2 linked regions of the Mus musculus genome follow. The protein of the gene in region 1 interacts with the protein of each later gene in a pairwise test. Links are inferred from orthologs where the notes say so. Each region holds a gene or a part of one and is shown on either strand. Other genes may lie near its edges.

The links. The genes of interacting proteins can lie anywhere in the genome.
Region 2: the proteins of Mad1l1 (region 1) and Lgalsl interact in binary tests that used the Homo sapiens proteins (3 or more experiments, as listed by UniProt). The two-hybrid records come from large-scale screens. The link is inferred for Mus musculus from reciprocal best matches to the Homo sapiens genes MAD1L1 and LGALSL.

The regions. Positions count from the first base shown.
Region 1 is NC_000071.6:140,294,375-140,304,371, reverse strand, and holds part of Mad1l1 (mitotic spindle assembly checkpoint protein MAD1), read left to right. Parts: intron 1-674; coding exon 675-799; intron 800-1,375; coding exon 1,376-1,457; intron 1,458-3,807; coding exon 3,808-3,938; intron 3,939-4,042; coding exon 4,043-4,157; intron 4,158-8,523; coding exon 8,524-8,585; intron 8,586-9,997. UniProt on the Homo sapiens protein: Component of the spindle-assembly checkpoint that prevents the onset of anaphase until all chromosomes are properly aligned at the metaphase plate.
Region 2 is NC_000077.6:20,823,985-20,834,721, reverse strand, and holds the start of Lgalsl (galectin-related protein), read left to right. Parts: upstream 1-3,613; 5' UTR 3,614-3,712; coding exon 3,713-3,748; intron 3,749-4,374; coding exon 4,375-4,446; intron 4,447-4,595; coding exon 4,596-4,684; intron 4,685-5,275; coding exon 5,276-5,453; intron 5,454-8,206; coding exon 8,207-8,350; 3' UTR 8,351-10,737. UniProt on the Homo sapiens protein: Does not bind lactose, and may not bind carbohydrates.

The DNA of each region.
Region 1 (9,997 bases):
GCCTTGTGCTTTACCTTCTTTTGAGTTTTTATTTTGAGATAGGTTCTCAGTAAGCTGCTCAGATTGGCTTTGAACCTACTCTGTAGCCTTCATGGCGATTAAACTTTTAACTCACCTGCTTCAGCCTCCCAAGTAGCTGTCTTAACAGGCCTGCTTCACCAGCTGAGCTCTGAAGCTAAGTTCTGATGATGACCTACATCTTGGCCAGGACCTTGCTGTCTTTCCATCCTGGGTTACGTTATGTTGGAATGTTGACATGCAGATGCTATGGAGGCTTGGAGTGTGATGGAGGTCCGAGGTGTGGAAAATGCTGAAGTAGACATGTGGGGTCCAGGATGCTGGATGTGGTACCCTGTATGGAGGCTAATAGACTTTAGAGTATCAGACGTAGCTAGGACCAGCTTCCCTAGAGGCTCTGACCCTCATCTGTGTCAGTGGTGTGGAGCACAAGGCAGGCATTGAGCCGGGATGCTCATGAGAGACAGTGTTGTCTACTCGCCACATGCTTCGAGGACAGGGGGCTCTGTTCTGTCCTGAGCAGCACATGGAGGCACACTGCCCTTCCTTTCTCTTTGGTCTCAGTGAGGGAGAGCTGTGCTTGGGTACTTTTGGTTCATTGTCTGCGTGCAGTTGGGGCCTCACTGAGCAGCCAGTTTTGCTTTCTTAACTTCCAGATGATTAGTTCATTGAAGGGGCGTGTCTCGGAGCTGCAGTTGAGTGCCATGGACCAGAAGGTACAGGTCAAGCGGCTGGAGTCTGAAAAGCAGGAGCTGAAGGAGCAGCTGGAGCTGCAGCAGCGGTGAGAGCCTGACCAGTCGCTAAGACAGTCCAAAGGCTGCATGGAGGACACAGCGAGGCCTCTGGACTTGGGAAGTGTGTGTCAGAATAAGACGGTGACAGCCTCGTTCCCTTCTTCCTGGGACTGGCTTCCACAGAGGGACGAAGCTACGCTAGGTTTTTGAGGGCGTGGGCTGCTGTGCTTGGGCAAGCTGTTCTAGGTCACAGAGGACACAGATATGTGGTAGCTAGTGGGTGGCAGTCAGGAGCCTTTGGATTCTGCCTTGAAGGTCTGGCCCTTACCCTAGGGCAGGCATTGCCTTAGGATTGTACCCTTAGTGTGGGCAGGCCTGGGTGGCCTCTGATGCTTGCTGTGACGCCAGGCTAGCAGACACTGTGGATTGAGTGGTGGATAGAGAACTAGGTCGTGCCACAGGAAGCCTGGGCTCCCTTGTAGCCCCATCAGACAATGTCACAGTCTTAAAGGTTGGCTTAGGACTTGAGGTTCCCTGGATAAGGGGTGTGTGTGTGTGTGTCCAGGCTAGGGGTAAGGTTAAAGTGGCATTATGGACTGACCTTGCATGTACTTCTCTCACAGGAAATGGCAAGAGGCAAATCAGAAGATCCAGGAGCTGCAGGCCAGTCAAGATGAGAGAGCTGAGCATGAGCAGAAGATTAAGGTAGATGCTTCCTGCCAGACTGTGCAGCTTCCTATACCAGGCAGGGGTGGGACAGCCCTCCTGTCACTCACACACCTTCCTGCCTAGACGTGTGCTCAGTGGCATATGAGGATGCATGCTGATTGCCTTGTGGATGCCAGGCCCTGTGCTGGCTCCTTGGAGGCCACAGTGAGTGCTCAAGTGCCCCAGTGATGACGACCCACTAGAAATCCATGGGAAAAGGCTAACACAGAGGACTGCAATCTAGGCTTAGAGAGCCCAGCCACAGAGGCCAAGATGAGACACTATGAGTTTGAGAGCGAGTGCTCCATGAAGTAGAGTTGGGGGTGGAGATCCTGTGCAAGTCTGCACAGCTAAGCATGGCCGAGCGAGATCACCACTCCAGGGCTCTGATTTAAGTTCAGCCTCCTTTATTCTGGTGGGTGTTGCTGGAGAGGTGCCGCCGCCGAGACCTCCCTTCCATGGTTTCCTGTTGCCTTTACTGTGATAGCCAGTCCTGGGAAGGAGACTGTGTCAGTTGTCTCCCTCTCTGTGTGGTGTGAGCACCAAGGCAGTAGGCTCTGCTCCTTGTGCCTCTGGCACTGCTTTACCTGGCTCTGTTGTCTTTTGGACTTATTTGCTTAAAGATCAATTTTTATTTTTATATGTGTGGGTATGGGTGTCTGCAGAGATCAGAAGAGGCCTGGAATTGGAGTTAAGATGCTAGCTGCCTAACCAGATGCTAGGAACTGAATTTGGGTCCTCTGGAAGAGCAGCAAGTATTGTTAGTTGCTGAGCCTTCTCCCTAGGCCCGAGTCCAACCTTCTTACCTCTCACAATTCCCTTGTGCATAGAGGTTGACCAGTTGGTCTTCTCTGTCTCTTTGTTCCCACTACTTGACTCTACCTGGATGGAGCTGGGCTCTATGAAGGGTCCTGATCAATTGTTTTGGTCCTGGTTTTATATATAGCTTGTTCAGTGACTTGTCACTAGGTTCCTGTGCTACCTTGTTGAGAGTCATAGTGACAGGTGCAGTGTAGGTACGCCTGCTGCACAGTGGGAACAGATGCAAGGGTTGCAGGTTCACCACCCACGTGGCAGAAGCTGACCACAGCGGGCCAGAGGGGCCTGTGGCACTGAACCGTTGGGGACCAGAGGGCTGGATGGTGTGTGGCCAGGCACAGGCAAGAGGGACAGTGGTGTGGGTACTGGCTCTTGGGTGCTCCAGTGCTGCTCCAGAGGTGGTGTTGAGGATGCAGCATAGCGGGTTAGCCTTGGAACACTTCCTACACTGTCTGGACTGTGGAGACCATTGAGGTCCTAGGACAAGTTAGAAGACCTTTGCTTTGCTTAAAAAAAGAAAAAAAAAAAAAAGGAAAAAAAAAAGAAAAAAGAAAAAAAGAGGCAGCCGGGCAGTGGTGGCACACACCTTTAATCTCAGCACTTGGGGAGGCAGAGGCATGCAGATTTCTGAGTTCGAGGCCAGCCTGGTCTACAGAGTGGGTTCCAGGATGGCTAGGGCTACACAGAGAAACCCTGTCTCGAAAAACCGAGGGAAAAAAAAAAAAAGAGAGAAGAAAAGAAAAAAAAAAAAGAAAAAAGAAAAGAAAAGAGAAAGGCTTATTTAATTAAAAATTAGGTATATATGTAGGTATGTATGTGTAAGAATGTGTGTGTGAATGCGGGTGTACGGGCATGCCAGAGACGTCATATCCCCTGGGCCTGGAGTTACAGATAGTTGTGAGTTTGACATGTATGCTGGGGGTCAGTGTTGTTCCTTAGGATGTTATCTACTTTTTTCTTTTCTGGACAGGTCTGGTTGGCTTTGTTTTTCATTTAATCTATCTATCTATCTTCCTTCCTTCCTTCCTTCCTTCCTTCCTTCCTTCCTTCCTTCCTTCCTTTATTTATTTCTGCAAGTCGTTCTATGTAGCCCTGGCTGTTCTGGAAATCACTATGTAGACCAGGCTGACCTTGAACTCACAGAGATCCACTTGTCTCTGCCTCCTGAGTGCTGAGATTAAAAGCCTGTGTTACTATACCAGTCTTTAAAAAAAAAAAAAGTGTGTGTGTGTGTGTGTGTGTGTGTGTGTGTGTGTGTGTGTGTGTTAGGAAGCATTGAGGGGATTTAGGGCCTCATACTTTCTTGCATGGCAAGTGATTACTGACCGAGCAGGTTCCCTAGCTTCTGACACCTCCATTTTTTTGTGTCTTCTCTTAAACTGACTGTCATGATCTCCATGTCTGTCTGTCTGCCTTCTCCAGATCATTCCGTGGTTGAAGACCTGCATGTCTTTCAGCCCAGCCTCTCTGTTTTACAGAGGCTGTGTGTGCAGTTCTTCTGGCTGCTTACTCTCTCTCTCTCTCACAGGACCTGGAGCAGAAGCTGTGTCTACAAGAGCAGGATGCAGCTGTGGTGAAGAGCATGAAGTCTGAGCTGATGCGGATGCCCAGGATGGAGCGTGAGCTGAAGAGGCTGCATGAAGAGAACACTCATCTAAGGTGAGGGCTCATGCACAGCCTGCTGCCCCTAGTTGGTAGTTGGGCCCTGGGCTTGGTGTCCCTGGGGCTTGTCCTCCACGTGCGTGACTGTTCTGGCCCTGTAGGGAGATGAAGGAGACCAATGGGCTGCTCACAGAGGAGCTGGAAGGTCTGCAGAGGAAACTGAGCCGGCAGGAGAAGATGCAGGAGGCTCTGGTTGACCTGGAGTTGGAAAAGGAGGTGAGTAGTGGGTGAGTTGTCTCTCCGGGGCCGTCCTCTGCCCTGGCCGGAGCACCCTGAGCATCTCCATTACACCTTGTAGTTGGTCAGCTGTGGGGATGCCGTGCTTGTGTGGTGGGTAGTACAGTCAGTTATGAGATTCTCCATTACACGTTGTAGTTGGTCAGCTGTGGGGATGCCGTGCTTGTGTGGTGGGTAGTACAGTCAGTTATGAGATTCTCCATTACACGTTGTAGTTGGTCAGCTGTGGGGATGCCGTGCTTGTGTGGTGGGTAGTACAATCAGTTATGAGATTCTCCATTACACGTTGTAGTTGGTCAGCTGTGGGGATGCCGTGCTTGTGTGGTGGGTAGTACAATCAGTTATGAGATTCTCCATTACACGTTGTAGTTGGTCAGCTGTGGGGATGCCGTGCTTGTGTGGTGGGTTGTACAATCAGTTATGAGATTCTCCATTATACGTTGTAGTTGGTCAGCTGTGGGGATGCCGTGCTTGTGTGGTGGGTAGTACAATCAGTTATGAGATTCTCCATTACACGTTGTAGTTGGTCAGCTGTGGGGATGCCGTGCTTGTGTGGTGGGTAGTACAATCAGTTATGAGATTCTGCAGTCACTGCTGCCTGTTGCAAATAGGAGCTTCTTTGATTAAAGCTCACAGTGATACATATTTTATGGGCATAAGTGTAGCTGCTTAGAAGGCAACTTGACAGACTCACTACACACAATAGCTGTTGCTTCTGTACTGAGGTCTGTCCTCAGCCATGAGCTTTTGACTGGGTTTACAGTACCAGATGGGGTTCCCTCTTCTGGAGTGAGCATCAAATCCAATTAGAAAGCAGTTGGTTACCCTGGTAACATACCTGCCATTGTTGCACATGTAGGCTCATTTTGGCTGCTTGTTATTGTGCACACAGGCTCTAAAGCTGGGTAAGACTGTTAAAGACAGTTTTTCCCATCGGCCTGCATAGTATCTTGCAGACCTCCAAAGACTTGCTAGCAGGGAGGAAGCTTCTAGCTCAGTTCTAGCTTGATTTATCTGTTCTTGATGGCATGTGCTGTCTTTAGCAACAACATCTTACTATGTAATTCTGGTGGTCAACCAATAGCAATGGCTATTTTCCTACATTGTATTAGAGCCTCAGAAGCCTCTCCTTTTGTTTTGAGATGGCCTCACTCTTAACCTGGGGCTAGCTAATTCAGCTAGGCTGGGTGATCAGTGAGCTCTGCCTATCTGTTCTCCTCCAGCATTGGATTTTAGGTGTTTGTTCTATGCCCAGTTTTTGTTAAATGAGCATTAGGGAGTGAATGCAGGTTTCATGCTTGTGTGATAATCTGTTTGCTTGACTGAACCATCTCCCAAGCTCCATCTCTGGCTTCTTTTAGAAGTCCAAGCCAGATGAGTTTCTGTTGGCACCAGAGAGTTCTCTGTGACCAGCCCGTGCTGCAGTTCCTATCTATTTGTGCTGTCCCAGACAGGCCTCTCTTGGACACTGGCTTTATAGGCAAAAAGACCTGGAACTTCTTTTGTCCTTTCCTCTGGCATTCTGTCCAGAGAGCCATTCTTTTATTCTTGCATGAGGGAGTTAAGTATAGAGCAAGCAAAGGTAAACGAGCAGTATAATAAGCAGCAGCTAGAGATGCAGCAGACAGTGCAAAGCAGCTCACTGAGAGCTTACAGCATCCCACAGAGACAGCTCAGAAGTCCTGCTGGGGTCCCAGGAGACTGTTGTGGGTACAGTGTCTCTGCATGGCTGAGGCTTTCGGCTTCACACTCCCACAACAGGAATTTTTATACCATGAATAAGCAGTGGTTACCTTTGTTGGATGCTTCCCCCTTTAGCTATTTTTTTTTTTTTTTTTTTTTTTGGTTTTTCGAGACAGGGTTTCTCTGTATAGCCTTGGCTATCCCGGAACTCACTTTGTAGACGAGGCTAGCCTCGAACTCAGAAATCCGCCTGCCTCTGCCTCCCGAGTGCTGGGTTTAAAGGCGTGCGCCACCACGCCCGGCTCCCCTTTAGCTATTCTTAAGCCCCCACCCCTAGCCCCCCAGACAGGGTTTCTCTGTGTATCCCTGGCTATTTTGGAACTTAACTCTATAGACTAGGCTAGCCTCGAACTCAGATCCACCTACCTCTGCTTCCTGAGTTCCACTACTGGGCAGGCACCAAGATTTTGTAATGTCATAATTCATAGCAGCTTGTAGTTCTCGTTTCTCCTTGTTGCTGGACCAGGGGCCAGCCTGTCCCAGATCTTGACATAAACTGGTTGGACTCTGAGATAATGAAGGCCACCTTGGTCCGTGAGCCCACTTTCATGAGCCCAAATGTCATGCAAACAGCACATGACATTTACCAACATAATTTATATCACACCTGGATGTAATGTTTTTTGTTTGTTTGTCTTTGACAGTTTTGAGGTTTAGGGCGCTTAGCTTGAAGTCCTATATGGAAGTGTGCTTGCTGTTGACACTGGGTCTATCCATGCCCACCTGTGAAAAGTGGTCAGGGCCTAGCTGGGAACAGTGTCCTGTAATGCTGGTGGTGGAAAAGTTAGTAGCTGAGCAGCTGTCCCACCCTTTTAAAGTTTTTATTTTATGTTTGTGTGTGTGAGTATGTGTGTGTGTTAGAAAGAGTGAGTACATGTGTCTTAGTGTATGTGTGTATGTATGTATATATGTGTGTATGTGTAGGTATGCATGTGAGAAAAAAATGAGTGCACATGCCACAATGTATATGTGTATGTAGATATGTGTGTGTGTATGTATGTGAGAAAAAGTGAACCCATGTGCCACAATGTATATACATTTTGTGTGTGTGTGTATATGCATATATATATGTGTGCTTGTGTGTGTATATCTGTATGTATGTGGGAAAGAGCAAGTGTGTGCATGTGCAGTGGTGTTTGTGTGGATTTTCCAGGACAATTTGTGAGAGTAAGTTTTCTCCCACTGTGTGTATTCTGGGGCTCAGACTCAGGTCGCCAGGCATGGTAATGAGCTCCTTTATCTTGCTGGCCCTCGCTATGCTGCCCGTCCTGGGCACAGGTTTTTTTGTTTGTTTGTTTGTTTTTTTAAAAGTCTAGTTAGTTTTTATTTAACAAATCTCCAAAAGCTTTTTAAGGGAGAGTTGAAAGGCCAATCAACAGATTGTTCACAAAAATTAAATATCCATCTGAGTTTAAAAGGTGAGTCCATACCTTAAATGCTATACCAAAGTCTGCTCTAAATGTAAAATAGGAAACTATGCATATGTTTCTTCCACTATAGAAGCAAATAAAATAACATTTATAATATCTTAGGTTTTATATTGACTATTTAGCTATAACTTACAACAATTATTTATAAAGAAAAAATAACATGATAATTTGAATTTTATCAAAATTGGAAACTTTGCAAAATGAAAAGTTGACAGTATGAAAACATGAGCTGGGCACAGGTTGTTTTTTGTTTTTTTGTCAGTATTATTCTTGGCTGGCTTGGAACTTCCTATGTAGACCAGGCTGTCTCTGGACTTTCAGAGGTCTGCTTGCTTTTCCCTCCAGAGTTCTGGGATTAAAGCCATGGGGCATGCCTTGTGGGCCGAGAACCTTTAAAAACAATTTTATTTAACTTTTTGTTGAATTTGTGAATTTCATATCATGAACCCCAATTCCATTCATCTCTTTGTCCTCTGCCCTCTGCCCTTGTAACTTCCCCCCAAAAAGAAAGAATTGTTGTAGGAACTGTAGTGTTCATTGCAAAGAGTCATTTGGCTGGTTTGAGGTCTCTGGCTTCTGCTACACTATTAGTTCCTGACCGGAACTCCTCTCAGATATCCTGTGGCATAGAGATCTTGCAGCTTTGGATCTGCAGGGCTGGTAGGTCCAGAATCATGAGTGAACCCTTGGTATCAGCTATGTGCTGGCCCCCTAAAGATGGGGCTGATCTGAAGCACATATTCATTTCAGCTCCAAAGGGGTAGGGAGAGAGACTTTGTGGGAATCAAGCTGGTCTGGAGCAGGCACACGGGCATAGATGACCCTGTTTCCTCCTCATGGCTTGCTAGCCCGCATCTAAGTCATTTTGGTCCTGGCCTACCATAGAATTAGGGAAACCGTGGCTCTAGAACAGAGTTTGTCGGTCAGTAGGTCTAGGACTTAGCATTCTAGGACTTAGCTTTCTGAAAGAGGCTCCTGGCTAATTTGGCTGGACTTGCACCATGGGGCAGGAAGGAGCAAGGCCTAGGCCAGTCATGTACCTTCATCTGCTAAGATCACCTAACCACCTGTGATCACAGATAGGATGGGAGACTCCAGTACCTTTGTCATTGTTTGCTTTCACATGACAGTTGCTGGGCAAGAGATACTGATGGCTATAACTGTCTTTCTAGAAGCTACTTGCAAAGCTGCAGAGCTGGGAGAACCTGGACCAGACCATGGGCTTGAATCTCAGGTAGGTAAGCTGTTGCTGTCTTCACCCCTGGCTGCTGGCTTCCAGTGCTTTCTTCTGCCTCCTGGCTCAGAGTCTGCAGAGGACAGGGCAGGCAGGCTCCTTCTTGTGCTGTGGTGAGGAGCTCTTGTTTAGGCTTAATGAGTGCTTTACATGGCAGGGCGATTGAGCCTTACTGTAAAGACTGTTGAGAATCTGTATCTCCACAGAGCTGATGGTGGGGAAAGGGCATTGCAATGGCCTGCATGCTCACAGGACCCAGTGCATGTAAGGAAGTCACTGCTTTGGGGGAAAATGATAAACTTTGGGGATTGACTGACTGAGTTAAAACCCAATAATACTGGAAGATTCATGTCCCACTGGGTCCTTTGGAGCATCTCATGTTACTGGTCTGTGTCAGGTATGAGTGCAGAAATGCAGAGTGGATCACAGGGCAGAGATGCTGGGCACTGTGTGTTCAACACATAGCAAGGGCAGGGTGTTCCCTGTGGCTTTCCCATCTGTACAGTTGTGAGGTGTCATTCACTGATGGCCTGATGCATTTGTAGTTCAGTTTTGGGTTGACTCTCAGCTGCCATCAACAGCTGTGATCCCTGAGTCTTGGTCTGGCTGTCACCCTTCATGATGGCTGTGTCTGTTCTAGGACTCAGGGCAGTTGTGGTGTATTAGTTGGGATAAGGTGTTGGAGCTAAGGCCTGTGGGATTCAAGCAGCCCTTTGTTGTAATACTTCCGGCTTGCTGGCTGTCTTCCTGCTGCTCTGAGTAACAAGGCCAGATGAAAACTGCCTGAGCTCAGCTGTCTTATAATCACACTGTCCCCTGCTGGCTCTGGAGCCGTCACCTTTTGATGGCAGCATTGCCTTCCATTCTGTTACTTGACAGTGCCTCTTCATTTCCTTTCCAGTCCATCTGCAGAACCCTTCTTTCAGAGGCTGGCCCAGCAGGCCCAGTGCTGTGTGCTTCCTCCTGTCTTCTGGGCTTGTTAGCTGCCGGCAAGGGTCCCTCCTACCCCTGGGGATACTCTGCCCAGACAAGACACCTCCGTGACTTCTTTCTTGTGATGGAGATCAGAGGCCCCTCATGCCCAGTTGGACCAGCCCTGTTGGAACACTGGTGTTCTGGTTTGCCTGCGTGTCTGGTGCCTGCCGCATGGTACTTAGTGTCAATCAGTTCTGTGGAGCCGTTGCCTTGGCTGGAGTAGCACAGGTCACAGTGGCCAGGTTGCAGTGTCTAGCTGCTGTGTGAGCCCTTTCCCCAACTGACTGCCCTGTGCAGAGCTTGGCTGCTTTGAGGGCAAGCTGATCCTTGGTTGCTGTCTAGCTACCTGGGCCAAGCAAGAGAGAGGAGTGGGTGCTTATGGTGCTCCACATTCTCATCGAGGAATGCGGGGAGACCCTTCTTAGGAGCCATACTGC
Region 2 (10,737 bases), on another chromosome or scaffold:
GCTTACCTGAGGAACTTGATACATAGACCAGGCTGGTCACTGAACTCACAAGAGATCTGTCTGCCCCTGCGTCCCCAGTGCTGGGATTAAAGACCTTTGCCACCATGCTTAGTCTTTTTTATGAAAGTACAACATTAACAAAATAGCAATTAAAGCACAGCCCAGCTCAATGAACTGCTAGATATGCAAAGTACATGGACATTCACTGTAGATATCAAACTTAAACTTCCATGTTCCTTGTAGAAGCTGGGCTGTTAGTTTCCAGCTTTGAAGGAGGCTGGAGGTCTGTGTCAGCTAGACATTTCCTCTCCAACTCCTGAGAGCCAGGTAGATGCTTCCCGTTTTCCCTCCTGTGGGTCAGGGCGTCTAAATCCCCAGGGGACAGAATGTCTCTTTCCTTCTAGCCAAACCAGGCAAGTTTCTGCAAAACTACAAGATGAAAAAGCCCTTTAAACCACCAAATAAAAAAATAAAATAAAATCATAAAAACAACAAAAGGGAGGACTACGTGCCAACAAATGCAACCAGAAGTGTCCAGAAACAATGAAGAGATGTAATTAGACTTCAGGTTCAGTCACACAGTCCTGTCACACTCTGGCAGATCAAGCACTGGACTCAGGTCAGTGGTCTCTTGGAAATCGCTGAAGGTAAGCTGGAGAGAAGGCTTGGGTACGTGGCAGCGACTCCCAGAACAGGCACTAATCTGGCTGTGAGGAGTCTCCAAACACCTCCTGTTCACAGCACCAGCTCTGAAGGCAGAAGCAGGGTCCTCTGCCTCCTCCTTGCCAGGCTTCTGTTGCCATGTGGAAGGGGACAAGGGGACATGGAACTGCATCTTTGAAGCCCCACGCTCCTCTAGGGAATGGGTCATGACCATCTTCTTCAGAGGGAGGCTTTTATTTTGGTCTGTAATTAAAACACACACCGGAGGCTGAATCTAGCTTCCCCATAAATAACCGAAGTTAATGAAATGTTCAAAACTAGTGTTGACTGCCAAGTTTTACAGCATTCTCCTAATTGTTTGGGTATGAGAAAATTCTGTGTATGTCTAAAAGAATCATTTGATAACTAGGCCATAGTTCCTAAAATAATTAAAACCTGTAATCATGTTTTGAAATACAGAAAAGTTGTTTGATAAGTTGTGCCCTCCTACCTAAGTAGGCAATCAAAGAATGCTGAGTTTGGAGATTTTTTTTTTTTTCTTGTGTGAATGTTGCTCATAAGAGTGGAGACTGGCTTGACAAAAACAGTTATTAAAAACTAAGTGCCTAATGGACTTAGAGCAGTGTGTGGGGCCCTGTTTGTTAGAGTGGGCTGTGGCTTCCCTTCCCAGTGGGAGTCTGAGGGAATCAGCATCATGGGATAACAAACCTCAGCAGTGGGATATTTTGCAAATCTTTGTTGAGTCCCAGTTCTTAGAGCAATTGGGCAGGGTGGTGGCCCAGCTGCAGGCAATGGTCTCCTCACAATGTCAGAAATCTGTGAGCACAGATGCAGGTACACAGAACCTGAGCCCCCTCCTCCTGTCCTCCTGCCCTGGCTACATGCTGCCTGTTCTCTGGCCCTTGTTACATCAGCTACAGGGATGCGTCAACATCAGAGAGTACAGGTCCATGATGTGACTCAGTGCCAGTATGCTTGCCCTGCACATACAAGGCCATGGGTTTGCTCCCCAGAACCTCCAAAACCAAACCTCCTCTCCCTGGCTCAGAAACTTCCAGTGTCTTTCTGTTCCCTTCAAGTAAAAGGTGTCTCCAAGACCTCAGCCTTCACTTCTGCTCCACATGTCCAGCATTAATCTACAGGTCCCATCTTGCAAACTTTATCTTTACAGTTCCTGAGCCAGCAACCTCTTCTGGAGGTTGAGCCAGCCCTCCCTTTGTCCCTCCCTTCCTCCCTCCCTTTCTCCCTCCCTCCTTCAGAATTCTCAATGTCACTTTCCCAGACTACCCTACTTTAATAGCATCATCCTGCACTCTCCTCCTCCCCGCCTTATTTTTCTGTCTTACTACCTATATACTTGCAAGTTTGCTTATGTCTGCCTCTCCTCGCTACAATGTAATTTCAGCAATGCCCCTGCTAATTCTCAGCTCTTGGTCAACAGCAGACACTCAAAACTGTTGCTTAGAATGTGCTGAGTGTTCTTCTGGGGAAGGTGTGTGAACCAATTTATTAATCTTCACAGTAATTCAAGATAGGATCATCGTAGTAATTATTATCATGTCTGATGAAGAAATTAAGGCACGCTACTATCAGTAATAAGAAACTAAATTTGGACCCAAGACACCAGCCCTTTATAATAACCATGATATATTGTACCACGCTTAGCTAATAGCAAATAATTCAATGATTTTTTCCCTATGCTGACTCTTAGAAATTCAGAGAATCAAAGTATGACTTTAAAATATCAAGTTTCTTGTAATTGCCTAGTATGTTAGAATAATTAATAGGTGTGATTCTCAAGCTCAGATGAGTAAACAGGAGCAAAATGGGAGCCACAATGACAACTCTTCAGTCTCTAATTCTGAGAACCACTTCCACAAAGGCTCCGACTGTGGATTACAGGCATGTTCCCTGTCCCACAGAGATTACCATGATTAGCACTGGTCCATAAAGGGACACAAAAGCTGCAGAGACGCCAGGTCCCCCAAAGGGCCCCTCTGGGACTGTAGCAGCTCACTTGCTCAAGCTCCTTGCTTATTAGTGTGGTGATTCACACAGTGCATTGGGCAAGCCGAGTATGTCACCTAATAGAGAGTATGTTGATACAGCCTTATCTGAGAAGTTACATAATTATGCTAGTGTCAGGATACCATTACAGGAGTCTGAGCCTTAGCGTGAAAGAGGAGTGTATTCCCTAGGAAGTATTACACAAAGAAGGACTGGAGACTCCATTACCCCAAACTAAGCAAGTGACGTAAAATAGCTAAGGACAGAAACTGTGTCCACTTCAAGTTGCGGCTTGGCCGGGCACCTGCTGAAGAATGCTTCCGGGACCCCGACACTAGCCTGCGCTTCCCTGGGAACAGAGGGTTGGTCGGCGCTCAGCAAACTGTCCCCCTAGAGTCCTGGCTGCTTCTTTATTTAGGGTCAAATATGTACAAGCCTTGGACCTCCATTCTCCTTCTCCTCCAAACAGTGCAACTATCTTTCCTCCCACTAGGTTGGAATTCTCTGAAAGAAGCCATACCAGGTCTTCCTCTTTGGAGTCCTCCACCTTCTCTCGACCTCACTCCTGATCCACCCCCACAGTCCCCCAGGATGCGGAAGGAGGTGAGTGAGTAGGGTACCGACCAGGAGTGTCCCCAGCACCTGTCACCTGGCCCACCTGGGCCCTCCCTTCACCCCTTTCCCCAGCCCCACCCACCTTCCCGCCGACAGGCCACCGCCCTCCGGCCTTCAGCCGTGGTCCAATGGCCGTAGGGCAGGGCACGCTTAGCAAGCCGCGGCTCCCGGGCCCCGTCCCCGCCCTGTTCCCGGTTCTCGGTTCCCGAGCCGAGCCCTGCCGCCTTTAAATGCCACCCCAGGCCAACGCACTGCGGCCCTCGCCACCGTCATCCCCTCGCCGCCGCGATCTCCGCGCCGCCCGCCTCCCTTCCCCCTCCCGGGCCTGCGGCCGCGCCAGCCTGGGGCGTGCACGCGCGCCCGTGTGTGCGCGCGCCCGGCTCGGACCCGCGCCCGCCGCCGCGTCCCCGGCGCTCGCTGCAGGAACATGGCGGGGTCGGTGGCCGACAGCGACGCCGTGGTGGTGAGTGCAGCGGCCTCCCGCGAGGCGGGTAGCTCAGAGGGCCGGGGCAAGGACTACGGACCCGCGGTGCCGCGGGAAGCGCGGTACCTGTCAGCCGCCGCGGGGTGCGAGCTCGGGGGGCCCCGGGCGCGGGGCAGGAGGGCGCCGGCCAGGTGCGCGCTGGGCGCGTGTGCGTGCACGTGGGTTAGTGTGGGGCCGCGGTCCCGGCGTCCGGGATTTACCCCTTTGGAAACGGTCCCGCGCCGGGGGCTCCGGAGAGAAGCCGAGCGCTGCCGCTGCACTCCAGCCACGTCCCCGAGGACAGGCCAGGGGGCAGAGACTCCGGGAGCGTTTGTGCTTGGAGAGGGGCCTGCCGCCCACCTACACGGGCTTTGCTTCCCGGGTGGGCCGCGACCTTGAATTTGATCCGGTCTCAAGAGCCTGGGGATCATCAGAGGCTTAGACCGGATGGAAAGGCCGGGTTTTGTTTCGCGGTTATTTAATGGGCTATAAAGAGGCATCATATGTATGTGTGTCTGTGGAGGGCTGCTGGATCACTACAGATTTGTGTTGATTCCTCATCCTTCCATTCACTCCCTAATAAACAAGGGTCTGTGGAAAGCCAATCTGTGTGCTTCTATTTTTAGAAACTTGATGATGGGCACTTAAACAACTCCTTGGGTTCTCCAGTTCAAGCCGACGTGTACTTCCCACGACTGGTAAATCAATGTGCTCCGTGTCTCTGCCTTTATCCTTTTCCCCTCTGGTGCATTTCCTTGCTTTCTAATGGGTCTGATTCTCAGGGCTGAGGGTTTGGCTCGTCTCTAACAGCCCATAAACATCCTGTCTCTCCCCTCTTCCTTTGCAGATAGTTCCATTTTGTGGGCACATTAAAGGTGGCATGAGACCAGGCAAGAAGGTATTAGTGATGGGCATCGTAGATCTCAACCCCGAAAGGTAAGGGCAGAGCCCTGCCATTGCTGAGTCCCGCGGCTGCCTCCTCCCCTTACCCTACTTGCACAGTGTCACTAGTTAGGAGTGCCAAGAAAGTACCATGTTCCCATGAAAAGAATGTGTATCAATCCTAGCCATCATCTCTGCAGATAGCTATTTATATCAGTGATGATAAAAATAGGCCTACAGTTAATCTTTGACCCTTGAGAAGGCCAAAAGACTTCTTTTTTTATGGTTTTGAAACACGGTAGTCGTAACCAAACCTGTTAGAATAAATAAGAACCAAACTTACAAGATGTTTCCCTTGTCAAGTTCTGTGGCTGTTTTTGAGAACTCTGAGATGGATTAATGCAAGGGTGGCCTGAGGCATTTGAAGTCTTCAGTTGTAATTATTTTCAGTTCCACTGGAGTTTTCACCAGAGCCTACTTTAGGTAACAAAATCTATTGGTTTGAGTGTAATCCTTAGTGTCTGTGTTTAAACTGTGTAAACAGTAGCAGCCCATTAAAAGCCGATGAACCCACTGGAGGAGGAACTGGGTCAAGTTAAAATGTTACATCTGACTCCTGGCTAAGTGACACTGTTTTCTTTTTAGCTTTGCCATCAGCTTGACCTGTGGAGACTCTGAAGATCCTCCTGCCGATGTGGCAATTGAACTCAAAGCTGTGTTCACAGACCGGCAGCTGCTCAGAAACTCTTGTATCTCAGGAGAAAGAGGCGAGGAGCAGTCGGCAATCCCTTACTTTCCATTCATCCCAGACCAGCCGTTCAGGGTAGGTACCTTGAGTGCCTGATGCAGTGTTGGCAGGGCCCCTACTTACTCTGTATCTACTGTGTGCCAAGAGCTCTTTAAGAATTTCTTCATGTCCAAGAAATTTGTTGCCCGGAACTTGTCTCGAGGCCGAGAGAAAAGAATAAAAAACAACAAAAGAAGTCTGTTTGCTGATAGATGTTAATGCTTGCCTTAGTAGCTCTTGATTCTCTTCAGACCATATGTTTAGTTAATGGATGCATATATGCATACCTAATTGCTAAGTACTTAACTGTAATTCTACTTAGCCAGTGCGGAGGTATTAATTATTGTTAACTTCTGGGGTGGTGCTAGGGACTGAACCTTGTGCACATTAGTTAAGGTTTCTACAACTTAGCTACACTCCCAATCCTCGTTTTGATTTCTGTTTTGAAACAGGAACTCTCTAAATTCCCCGGCTGGCCTTGAATTTGTAATCCTCCTGGCTCAGTTTACAGAGTATTTTAGATTACAGGCCTATGCCATCAGGTCAAGCTGGGGTATTAATGTAGTAATAATTTTCTGTGTAATTCCCAATATAGTGTGAGGCACATAAATAACCTACCCCCAAGTATCTGATTGATCACTAGATATTAGTAAGTATCCAGAATTTTCATGTTTCTTGGCCTAAATACCTCAAAACCTTATTAGTTATGGGTTTAAAACAATTTAGTGGTTATCATTTCATTTTCTCTTGTTCACTTTGCTAATGAGTCCATATTTGTATAACTATTTTCCCGTGTGGGTTAATTAAGCGTGTCTGTTTCATGGTCATAAGCTGTGTGGCTGACAGGTTTCTTCCCTAGGGCTTGGGTAGAGCTCCTTGGCTCCCAGTCTCTAACAGGCAGGAAACAACCCAGTTTGCCACCCCATCAGGCAGCAGTAGCACTCACTACCTTCCTCTGCAGGACAAATAAGAGGTGCAAGTCAGTAATATAAGAACAGACTTGTGTACGGGTCAGGCCTGGAGATGAGGCTGCTGTCTGCATGAATCGTACCATACGTCAGTAACGGCACCTCGGTTAAAAGCTCTGTGCTACGTATAGACCAGAGTAAACAGAACTGCTCTTGATACCTTGCACTTCACGTGGGTCTTCTCAAGAACCGTGACTGTTTCTCTTTCCTTAGAGTCTAGAACAAAACAAAAATCCATAACTTTTTTACATCAGTAAAGGAAATGAGATTGTTCCCCTTACGACCGGAATCTAGGACGTTTCCCCATTACCTTAGCTCCTCCTTTAGAATGGTAACCCCTTGCGGGCTCCTCTTGCTATGCCACGTTCTTACATGGTAAGCCGTGTGTGTGTGTGTGTGTGTGTGTGTGTGTGTGTGAGCTTGCAAACTGGAAGGCAATTCAGGTGCCATCCTTAGGAACACCACCATCTGCCTCCCTCACTAGCCTGGATCGCACTGATTAGGCTAAACTGGGCTGGCGAGTGAGCCCAGATCCCCACCACTCTACTGCTGGTATTACAGGTGCATTCAGAACCTGCCATTCTTGTGGGAAAATAGAGAATTATACTTGGGTCCTCTTACTTACCAGTCGAGTATTTCCTCAACAGAGCTATCTCAGACGGTAAATCCTTATGCCTGGTTCATGATTGTGAGCTACTGACTAGAAGGGTTACATTGCTTCCCAGCAACAAAAAAATGTAGTGAAATAAGCTGGGTGGTGGCTCACGCCTTCAATTCCAGCACTTAGGAGGCAGGGGCAGGTGGATCTCTGTGAGTTCAAGGCCTGTCTGGTCTACAGAGTAAGTTTGACGACTACCAGGGCTACACAGAGAAACCTTGTCTCTAAATAAAGTTTACACAAATGGAGTGAAATAGAACTTTTTGATGGTATAATTTAAGCAGTAATATGAATTAAATGTGACTGATACCACATATGGCATCCCTTAATGATAACTGTCAATGCTTTTCTACAAGCATCATAGCACAGCCAATTCATAAGCTCTGTGGTGGCCAGGAGGTGGTGGCTCATACCCTTGGTCCCAGCACTTGGGAGGCAGAGGCGGACAGATCTCTGTGAAATTGAGGCCAGCCTGGTCTACAGAGTGAGTTCCAGGACAGTCAGAGCTATATGAAGAAGCCCTGTCTCAACAAACAAGCAAACAAACAAAATCCCAACAAACCTCTGTGGTGAATTATGGAGAAAGAGAGGGAAAAGGTTTACCATGTGGAGTCAGTGTTTGTTTGTTTTAACAAAGCCTTGTTAATTACACATTCTTGGTCCAATGCTTATTACTGTGTAATCTCCCTTAGTGTTTATTTACCATGATTGTCTAGACTATTATTAGATGCTGCTAAGGGCTACCAGCCATGCATCAGGAGAGGCCCCCCTGCAGGTAGGATGGCTTGTTTGGCATCAAGTGTCATGTGAAGAGATTGGTGCTCCTTCACACCTCTACCTGGAATATGGGAGGAATTGTCTGTTCCAAATCTTTCACTGGTATGGAGTGGTGATTCTCTCAGTGGGTTCCCTGCTCCAGCCTTAGCACTGGGGAGGGTGCAGATTTTTAGATCGAGCTCTGGACTTCCTGAATTGAGAGCTGGGGGAATGGGAACCCAGCAGTCTGCACCCTAGCTAGCATTCAGCAATTTGTGATGTTTGAGATCTACGGTGGGCCTTGCTTATCTTCTCCACAATGAAGTGTGGTTATGTTGTTGGTTTCCCCCTTACTCCAGCAGGATTCATCCAAAATTATGCATTGTTATTATTTTTGTTTCTTCTAGGTGGAGATTCTTTGCGAGCACCCACGTTTCAGAGTGTTTGTGGATGGACACCAACTTTTTGATTTTTATCACCGTATTCAAACATTATCTGCAATTGACACCATAAAGATCAATGGGGACCTCCAGATCACCAAACTTGGCTGATGTTTAAAGCACTTCTATTTCAAATATGATCGATCAGGTGCCACAACTACATGTCTGAAAGAAGTGTCCTAACCAGATCTGGAGACTTAAAAAGAAAACAAAAACAAAGACAGACTTCACTGTCTCTTTCTGTGCAGTTTAAGTCCAGAGTGACAACCTCATCTGTGGTTTGCCCAGAAGAAGAAAACTCGCAAGAAAGACACTGAGCCATTATACCCAGAACAAAGTAATACATTTATCTGGTTTTTATTCAGACTAAACTAAAATGGATTTGTGATGATTTGTGATTTGATAGCAATTACTCATCATTTCAAAGCAAGGTGATATTTAGAAACAAAAGTGCTAAAGACCTTAAAAACAACAGCGGTACATCAAATCTGCACTGACGTGGAATTGCGTAGCACAACCGACATTTTAGTCAGGGTATTTACATAGAATGTAGATTGTGCAAGGTTTGGTTCTTATGTTTTCTTGGGTTTTGTTTTGTTTTGTTTTTGGCACAGCATCATGTTAACTTGGATTTTTAAGCATTCTCGATTAATTTATTTATATTTAGTATATGTATTAATGTATCAGAGAATGAGCAATGTCTACAAATTATGAACTTAGGTCTAAGGGGGAAATTTATGTATAACAAGCATAAAATAAGTGAATTTTTACCTTAAAGAATTTGAACATATTCCCCTTACCCCTCAACTTTGGCTTCTTGACATAAATTGCTATAAGTGCTTTTGGGGACATTTTTGCAACACTTCGATAAAGCTCTAAAGTTCTTGTCGATGATGGGAACTTTTGTTTGCATTGCTTTTTCTCCTTCCTGTGAATTAGCACAGTATTGGCTTCCTTAAGGCTAACTATTCCTTAGATTTACATAATAGCTCATTAAGTTGTTATTAAATTAATGGAAAGCATATAAGAGGTGATTGCATAGACAGCTTTTTAAATAACTATATATCAGTTTTTAATAGTATGCTATGAAAATGGTTCCAGAATGCAGTGTTAAGCAGAAGCAAGTTGCCCCAAATTACTTACTGAGAAGTAATTTATATCAACCTAGGCTGTTAGCTCATTGTATACTTTGTCTTCTGAGACCCTGCCCAGTATCCCTAAGCAATGCCTTTGGAGCTTCTGAGTAGACAGTGCTGCCTCCCTGGTGGATACGGTGGGATCCAGCTAGGTCATCTGAAAGATTAAGTCCCAGGATCTCAGCCAACAGTGACCATGCTTCCAGGGAAACTGCTTCCTGCACTTGCAGAACCACCAGTAGGCTGCAGGTGACTAACGTATCTGCAAGGTTAGAGATGCTCGGTGTTTCATACCCTGCGTTGGTCCTAGAGAGAAGGGCCTTTGGCATTGCTTTGGGCAGGTAGTGGGAGAAGAAAGGGATCCTGGGTGGGGTGTATTTATATATAATTTCGGTTTTGTTTGTACAGTGTATGTGTCTTATTAGGGCACCTCTTTGTCCTTCGCTTCTAAGGTTTTTTACACAACATGCAGAGGCACTGAAGTGACCATGTCATCTTCATGTGTCAAGAATGTAGACAGTGTTTCAGAACCAAAGTCTAAGATAAACAAAGCAAACTCAAATAAGGAATCTTTATAGATGATATATTTGGATTCTTCTCAACTTTGAAACTGTTTAGCACAGTTCCATGGTGTTATATTCAAAGCCTTGTCCACCAAGACCTGCTGCGTCTTAAAAAACTTTCTGTTCTCATGGCTTCTCAGGCAGCCAGGAGAGCTGTTTTGTAGCTCCAGGTTTTTATTTTGTTTTTTGTTTTTTTTAAAGCCTGTGAGCAATTTCTCATGGGTTGAAAAGCCACTTTAGAGGAGTGTCTGTCAAGAGACTTAGAACACACCCTGAAAAACATTTATGAGATTTGGATTCGATTCATGCAGTAAGCACCCCCCCCCACCCCCCCGAGGGATCTTCTGAGTGGGCAAGCATGTGTAACTCAGCAGAAGCTTGGGGTACGGGAGTATAAAAGATTGGAAGTGGCTTTTCTCTACCTGTCAGCTAACTCAGAAGCAGCCAATCCCGTAGGCTGCTTGGTAATGAAAAGCAGTATTAAATCCCAGATCAGCCTCCTGGGAGCCGTCTAAGTGGTGCATTGAGTTGATTTTGGACTAGTTAATCAATAGGGGCCACAGCCCAACTCACTGTCCAAATGGCTAGCTAGAAACTAGGACAAGTTCACAGTCTCCTCAGCCTGAGAGGTCAAATGTGGGGAATTCAGGATGGAAAGTGCAATTTCAAGCTTCATGGGGAAAGCACTGCATACACAGGAGTTCTGTCCACCCAGGGCCCTAGTCTTGCAATAACCAAAACCAAGGGATAACAATCAGGCTCTGGGGCAATAAGCAGGCTTTAGACAATCTGCAGCAAA